2 linked regions of the Bombyx mori genome follow. The protein of the gene in region 2 interacts with the protein of the main gene of each other region in a biochemical or structural test. Links are inferred from orthologs where the notes say so. Each region holds a gene or a part of one and is shown on either strand. Other genes may lie near its edges.

What was found.
Region 1: of the proteins of Cdk9 (region 2) and RNA polymerase II subunit A C-terminal domain phosphatase, one has a biochemical effect on the other in vitro, tested with the Homo sapiens proteins (3 studies listed by BioGRID). The link is inferred for Bombyx mori from reciprocal best matches to the Homo sapiens genes CDK9 and CTDP1.

The regions. Positions count from the first base shown.
Region 1 is NC_085125.1:10,155,722-10,160,004, reverse strand, and holds the start of RNA polymerase II subunit A C-terminal domain phosphatase, read right to left. Parts: upstream 2,996-4,283; 5' UTR 2,833-2,995; coding exon 2,615-2,832; intron 2,570-2,614; exon of another isoform or gene 2,355-2,569; intron 2,174-2,354; coding exon 2,026-2,173; intron 1,433-2,025; coding exon 1,295-1,432; intron 1,150-1,294; coding exon 899-1,149; intron 465-898; coding exon 325-464; intron 1-324. UniProt on the Homo sapiens protein: Processively dephosphorylates 'Ser-2' and 'Ser-5' of the heptad repeats YSPTSPS in the C-terminal domain of the largest RNA polymerase II subunit. This promotes the activity of RNA polymerase II.
Region 2 is NC_085130.1:9,751,229-9,755,491, reverse strand, and holds the start of Cdk9 (cyclin dependent kinase 9), read right to left. Parts: upstream 3,116-4,263; coding exon 2,431-3,115; intron 1,887-2,430; coding exon 1,801-1,886; intron 1,252-1,800; coding exon 1,114-1,251; intron 499-1,113; coding exon 419-498; intron 1-418. UniProt on the Homo sapiens protein: Protein kinase involved in the regulation of transcription.

The sequences.
Region 1 (4,283 bases), on a different chromosome or scaffold from region 2:
GTAACCATCATCCTGCCTTGCAACAGTCATGCATTACGGTTTCAACAATACAACCGTAATAGTACCACTTTGATTTCATCTCTAGGTGGATAGTACAAATTACTAGATACCAAGTGGACTATGAGGTGTTTGTTAGCAAAAAAAATGTTGTCCTCGTATCTGTCTTTTTTTTTAAGCTATACAAAAGAAAGTCTTCAGAAGGACTATTACTAATGTATGGATTACAAGTGAGATTCAAACATTCTTAAATTTGAAACTTGTATGTTAATCCAGAATTATTAGTTTTAATATTTTATTTCATATTCTCTTTTACGAGATTCTTACTTGGTGGCGGTGCATTGATATCGCCGGTCGATTGAAAAAATGAGTAAGGCCTGACATGAATTAGATTAGCAGCATGTCTCCACACATCTTCCCGATCGTCAATAATGCAAACCATGTTGTCACCACAAGGAAACAGTGCTCTGTAAATTATAGTTCATAAAAAATGGTCAAAAAAGTACAATAGTCACAATTAAAACTATTTAAAATTAATTTAAAAATTAATTATATACGTTAGAAAAATTTTGGTTATGAATATTCAAGATTGATATGGGACTCAGAGATTTTAACTTTACAAAGGCATTATTTTAGAATATTTTGTCCACACAAATTATTTCTTATTAAAAAAGTATTCAGTTATAAAAGAAAGTGTTGATTAGATAATTAATAGATAAAGTTAGATAAAAACTCTATCTGTCAGCACAATTTGATAAATTTAAAGCTGTTTTTAGTCTATTAATAAACCTACTTTGATTCAGATTATACTGAATATCCACAATTGATTGTCTGTCTCATCAAGAGAAAAAACTTATTGAAAATGTTGGAAAGGCCTTTTACTTAGCAATATCATTCTTACTTCAGATTGGCTGCTTTAGTTCTAGGATCAAAGCATTCATCTCTGGATAGTATCCTATGTGAGAAATATTTCTTTTCCGGATCTAGGAGCTCAGCTACGGCATGTGCATATTGCCTGGCTCCAAATGTACATATGTGAAGTTCATAGTTCTTTGCTGCTGATTCAAGAAACTCTTGAGTGCGTGGTCGAAGCCTCGTATGACACCAACGCCCTGGCCCTCCAGGTCCTCTTAGGAAGAAGTGTAATACTCCCTGAAGAAACAAAAAAATCATATTACATTAGATTGTATACATAGTATCAGTATCTAGTTAATGAAATCACATATTATTTAATCACAATTTCAAACTATTAGGGAAGAATCAATTGCATAGAAGAAGAAAAATAAAAACCCCTCACCTTTAGATTGGGTGGTATATTGTCATTAGTAGTGTGAACTAATGTTTGATCTAAATCTACCAGAAGTACTAATTTCCTGTCTTTCAGAAGACGCTCAGCATCCTCTTTACCTAGTTTTTGTGCCAGTTCTTCAGACACCTGAAATATGAAATATAATCAAAATATTACTAAATCTAAGTTTAGCTTGAGTATGACACCCCTATTGAAGATCTCCAAATACCACCCGCATGACCCTTGTTAATATTGTTAATAAATACTGTCCTGTGAATGTAGTTTGAAAATAGGGTATGGATATCACAGTCCAGGTAACTAATGCTCAAGGTGTTGTAGGTACATACACTAAATTGTAATTATGTATATGTTTAAGTTTGATTTATATACATTGATGGTATAATTTGCTATCAAGATCTACATGAAATCTAAGACGTGAGAATGTTGATTTTGAAGACAATGACATTTCACATTCAAATTGTAATATGAGTCCCAAATCCAGGGCTTTTATTAAGAATAACGTTTCTTACGTTCAGTTCAGGATATATTTTAGATTTTTTTTGCATTCTTTCAGTGGAGCTTCTCATTTAAATTAAAGCTGTCCCTACTGTTTATCTATTTAATTAAACTGATCTAATGGCTTTTCATAAAATGTTATTACCACTAGGTTTTGTCATCAGAAAATAAATACATTTTGTAAATTGTTCTCCAGAGTAATTGACATAATCAAAAGTGTTTACTTTTAATTCAGGTACAGAGTGTACCATTGGTACAATGGCCACGTCCAGCTTCTTGGTCTCCTCGCTGCGGAGGTCTGCTCCACACTCCGCGCACATCTCCATCATCACTGTTGGATGGCGGCATTCTTCCAAATCTGCTACAGCCGAACTGTAAACGCAAAATACTACGTTTGAAACAATCGATAACATCGTCTGATAAATATATTATGGCAGATATAAAATTTTACATTGTACATTAGAAGCAAATTTAAAAATAACATTCTTTACAAAATAAAGTCGAAGATGTCATTGCTTGCAATTAAAGTCAGACAGACGATGGTATCGCCCACCTGATGTTAAGTGATCACCGTCGCTTAAAAACATCCTCAATGTTAATGGCACAGCCGAGCTGCTATTTCATGCAGGGCGGGAAATGTTTTCAACATTCAAAATTGGCGCTCAATCGATAAAATGGATTTGCAACAATGGCGTTGCTTTATTAATATGCTTCACATCTAATGAGAATAAAACATGACATAAATGTTAGACATTTTATCATGAAATATATGCACCGTTTTTATTTTATCGTTGTTATCATGACGTCACTTACCTAGGTTCTACTACGTCTCCTTCTTTCACCTTGATCGATGACACAGTACCAGCGTGTGATGATTTAAATTTCTTTAACTCTTCACCATCGCCCGCTAAATCTTTGTATAAAAATAATACTTGGCCTTGTGTTACCACAGTACCTTGTTTTATTTTCCACTTTGCGAGTTTCACAGGCTTTTCTGATGGAACAAAAATAGGTATAGTTTTGTCGGCCATCTTGAACGGATATAACGCTTTTTGTCAAAATCCTAGTACCTTATTGGTGATTCGAAAACAGTTTTGGCGGCTTCACTTTTCCTGCCAATGAGAATAAAGTACAGGTTCAATCATCTTCATGGCGAATAGGAGTTCATATCCGGCCCAAAACGTGCTGTGAGCAGAGACAATTTCTTTCCTTTTTTATTCTGGCTGCTTTTGAGCATACATAGAGCATAGACTTATTTAAAAAAAGTATGAAATGCTTTCGAGTATGAAACGTATTGTTCACGCACGATGGCAGTGTAAAGCTGAGAAATTAAGCCAAGTACAGTAGATATCATCAATAGCATATTACTAATAAAAACTATGATGATGCAAGAGTACCAATTAATAATGTGCGACAGGGTGTAAAAGCCAGGAGCGAATATTTATTTTAACAAAATAAAATAATAGAGCTTGTTTAAATTTTTGTTACTTCTCGGTTAAAATGCTAATGCAGGCCTAAAACTTGTTTGCTCTCCAAGAGACGATGTATCTAATTTTAATGTAGGGATTCTATTAAACTAAACTACTTACTAACTAAATAAATTGTTTCTTTGCACTTTATCCATATCATGGAGTTACATGGAGTAAAGATACTAACACTATGATCCATATTCACTACCTACATAATTTAGGTGTATTATCCTTAAGCATATTTAATTTGCAATATGCATATTTAATTTATTCGCTGTTTAAAAAGAAAACAAGCCACGTAAGAAAATATTTTTTGATTAAAATTTCATTCTTGTACACAATACTTAAAAACGCTACGTATATACGCTACGGTTTTAATTGGATATCTGTCTATGTGACCTTTTTTATTGCTTAGATTGGTGGACGAGCTCACAGCTCAACTGGTGTTAAGTGGTTACTGGAGCCCATAGACATCTACAACTTAAATGCGCCACTCACCTTGAGATATAAGTTTCAGTATAGTTACAACGGCTGCCCCACCCTTCAAACCGACCTTCAACCGTTTCATCGCTCGATACGAATGCACCAGACGTCTTATTCTTTAGGGCACGACGACTTCAACTTACACACTACGCGGTCGTTAGTCAGCAATCATACGGATCGTTTTTTTTTTTTTTCCTACCTATGCTATGATAGCCTTGAGAGGCTATTTCAGCTTCGCCCTAACGTTTGTAGGCTTCGATCAACAATAGTAACTAGATAAAGGGATACGTACAAAATTAAAGCAAAAACTGTCCGCGTGAATATATACTTATATAGCTACATTCGTTTACTAACAAACGGAGAAAAAAGTTTTGAAACACTTATACTTTCAAACTAATAACAACTATGGCACCGAGTAATAAAGTCACAAGTCTCCAAAACATTATCTAATACTTACGATCATTCGTCACATAAAACGAGCAAAGCAATAAATTACTCCTGTCACTTACCAATAAAAAGACATATTTTAA
Region 2 (4,263 bases):
TCATTTATATATATAGATATAGAATAGATTGAGTTAATATGCGGAATCATTTGATACAAGCGAATATACCATCCCATTTTTGTTTTGTTTTTTTATTACTTAGACGGCTGAACGAACTCACAGCCCACCTGGTCTTAAGTGCTTACTGGAGCCAATAGACATCTACAACGTAAATGCACCACCCACCTTAAGATATAAGTTCTAAGGTCTCAGTATAGTTACAACGGCTGTCCCACCCTTCAAACCAAAACGCATTACTGCTTCACGACAGAAATAGGCAGGATGGTGGTACCTACCCGTGCGGACTCACAAGAGGTCCTTTCACCGGTAAAACCAGTTTCTTGTCTATCAACAATTAACATTAATAGAATAAATTCCTTGTAGAAATTGTAAGCTGGAAGTAAACTATTATACATACCGCTTGGCAGGATCTAACTGCAGCAGTTTGTCCAATAAGTCACAGCCGTAGGGATCCTTCACATATGGTTTCAGTCTTTCCTGTGTTTATATACAAATCTTAATTAGTATATAAGAGATGCTGGAATGAATATATACAGTATGCAGTGAAGAGAGAGCGGCATAGATGGGAAAATAAGTACACATATTGTTAAATGCCCACTGGACCAAACATCAAAATGTTCTCGACGCCCATCATGAGATATGAGATCTGAGTCTCAATAGTATTATTGCAGTGTGTGTTATGCAGTGTGCAGTGCAATAATAAACCGGCTGTTATTATGTATGTTCGTTTCTTTGCTCCTATATTCCGATATAACAATTATATAATGGCTGACAATGCTTTTGGTGGCTACGGTGATACAGAAATAAAATAACTAGTTGACAGTAGGCAAAAATACTTATTGTTTTTGTAAGAAAATATGTAATGAACTATGAAATGTTGACTTATGAGGCAGTGTGTTGAGCCTTGACCTTAAATATCATCTTGGAATGTGTGTTATCGGCCAAAGATAAAAAAAAAACTTTTTTTTTTTTCAAAAATGATTATGTCTTATTTCCACACTGCAATTGAGTACATAGGTACCCTGATTCTGACCAAACAGTCTTACTAAGCCAATAGATATAAAAATCTCAATGATTAAATTCCATATTCACCTTGACTTTCCTCTTTTGACCCTTTGGCAACTCCATTTTGTTGTAAAGATCCAAGTTCTCCACTCCGGGCCAGACATCAGGTGTACAGGAACCGCACAGCTGCGATATTAATATCAGCTGCTGCTGTTCTGTCGGACCCTGAAATATTACATTTCTAATCAAAGATCCATGGTAGACAAGAATTTTTTTTTTAACTGCTGATCTGTGGTGTATCGTCTGTCTTTCTGGAGCCTCAGCCTCTTAGTCTGTCATTTCTAAAACTATTCTATACATATTCTAAAAATAATAACATAAATATCTACAGAATATACAATTACAATAAAATTTATCAATTTGAAAAGAAATAATTCGTAGATTTTGTGACTCATTGTAAACCTTTATCTATGAACATCATTGAACCAATAAGTCTATCCAATAATACTCCATTAAATTTGGGGTTTATGGCATATAATTTGTGATCATTATAAAATTGCAAGTTTATTATTGAATAAACTCAATAGAGGGTTTGGTATTTTATGCTTTCCCATTACAAGAGCAGTGATTTTTGACTAGATAACACAAAAACTTATTACTGCATTTTTAAGCAAGGGCCCTGCATCTATTTCCTTTGACTAGATTTGCAAAAAAAACTAGATTAAACTGTAAAAGTAGTTTTAATCAGGTCGGTATCTTTGAAAAGTTTCAAACCTGCATGATCGGGGAGCGAGTCCACATTTCAGCCATGATACATCCGGCTCCCCACATGTCCACTGGTGGACCGTAGTTACGGTCACCTTTAATTAAATAAGGCATGTTAAAGCTGATACAACACACCACAGCTCATTTTTCATATATTTTTCTAAATGAGCAGACAAAGACAACTCACTATTACATGTTATTAAATGTTAGTTATAAGTTATTCAAAATCACTCCCACTATGAAAGATAACATAACACTTGTCTCCTTTAAACTAAAATGTATGACTGCTTCGATGCTTTAGATAAAAAAAAAAATGTTCTTGTAGGCAGATGAGCAGAAGGCTCATCTGATGGTGAGTGGTTGTAGCTTATGAACGTCAGCAATACTAGGAGCAAAGCCAAGCCGTTGCCTACCGTGAAGTACTCTCCACAAGCCTCGTTTGAAGAAAGACATGACGACAGACAGGCTCTCGGGAAACATCATGGAGGGGAGCTTACTTCAAGGCCTTACTACTTAGCAACAGGAGTTAGTAGAATAATGGTGCCCACTCATCCAAGCTCAATTTGTCTTATTACCAGAAATTATGGTTTACATAAAAAAACACTGTTCATTAATAAATAATATGTTTTAAAAACTCACCTAACAGCAATTCTGGAGGCCTATACCACAAAGTAACAACACGATTAGTATATTTATTGGCTTGTCCAGACTTTGCGACGCTGAATGCTCGAGCAAGTCCAAAGTCAGCCAGTTTTAATGTTCCATTCTTTGTTATTAGTACATTGGCAGCCTTCATGTCTCTGTGGAGTATTTTGTTGCTGTGTATGTAATAAAGTCCGTTCAGTAATTGTTGCATGACTTTTTTTATTTCGCCGAGACTGAACTTAACATTCACGTTCGATAGCAGGCCAGCTAGATCGTGTTCGCAGAAGTCGAACACCAAATAGAAAGTGGAACGGTATTTATTGTGAACCGTAGCCTTCGTGCGGCATATTTCTATCAAGTTTACAACGTTTTCGTGTTTTAAGAGCTGCAAGATCTTTATTTCCCGCAGGGCCGTGATCGGGAAACCCTCTTTTTCATTGTCCATTAAGACTTTTTTCATGGCAACAAACTTTTTGCTACTGTTTCTCGCGCGCGCTTTGAACACTTCACCGAATGTTCCTTGTCCGATTTTAGCTACTTTTTCGTATTTGGAAGACTCGTCGCAGAAGGGAAAGTCGAATTCCTCTATGTATTTCTCCTTTTCCCTCATGTTTAATATAGTTGAAGTTGTGCTTAAAACTGGTTGCGTGGGCTCCCGCGGAGCACTTACGCTTTGCATTTTGGACGTAATTTTGGCGGTTTTCAACGAACTTTTAGTATGAATATGATATTTTTAATTGTAGTGTAGACAAAGCTTTTAAAAAATTTCACATTAATTATGTTTTCACTTGGAAACGGCGAAATTTATTGATACCCTATCAGCAAAATCACAATAGGAAGAAGTGAAATGCAACACTGACTGAAGACTGTGACACTAATTAAAACGTCAACTGTCAATATCAATTTTTATTTTTTATTTATTGAATACGCAAAGAAAAGAGCCCAAATCAAAATGTTTTGTACCAAAGGCCAATGCCCGCCATATCTGTTGCTTAAAAAGTGAAGTAGAGTTAATTGAGGATTGGAATTAAATGAAATTAGATGTTGTTGATGGGCAGGTCCCCCTGCGCTGGTCAGACCAAATCCGTACCGCAAATACACTATCGTATTTGAGGTCATCTATAGCGTCGAGAATATATCGACGTATGGCGTAAGATAATCCACCGGAGAGATTCTGAAATCCCATAGAGGTCACGACCCACAGCATTGAAGATTTGGTCAATTGTCGGATGGCTAGAAATGAAACACACATTAAAACTTCGTAATTTAGTGGAAAAAGAAAATTTTGTAAGAACTTGAAAAGTCATACCCAGTGACTATTTCAAATATTTATGAGGTTTCGCATAGCGTTAAACGGTAAAATAGGCAGCGGTTATTACATATATTTTGGACTAAAACACTACCTATTGATCTACTCAATTTAACTTGGCTGAAGTTGTAACGAAAAAGTTAATTTAACAATAAAGTAAACATCCATGGTTTTAAATAACTTTATTAAGATGGTATGTACTGCTTTTCTTTGAATGTTATTCAGGTTACCACAATTTCTGTTAAAACAAATTAATTAATTTACAGTGTTTCTAAAATAAATGAAAATACAAAAAATCGACTAAAACGAAAGTATTGCTTGTAAGACATCTAAAATTGGTAAACTGTGAGTTTATAGGTTTTGATGTCAATGACCCTTAAACGTTGACATGAAAACGAATAAAGAGAAACGTCAATGTGTCATCGGAATTGATTTTTGTTTTTGTTACAAAAAGTTACACATTCACAACAATAGTAAAAGACGCTTCGAGGTAAATAACGCAATATTATACTAAAATT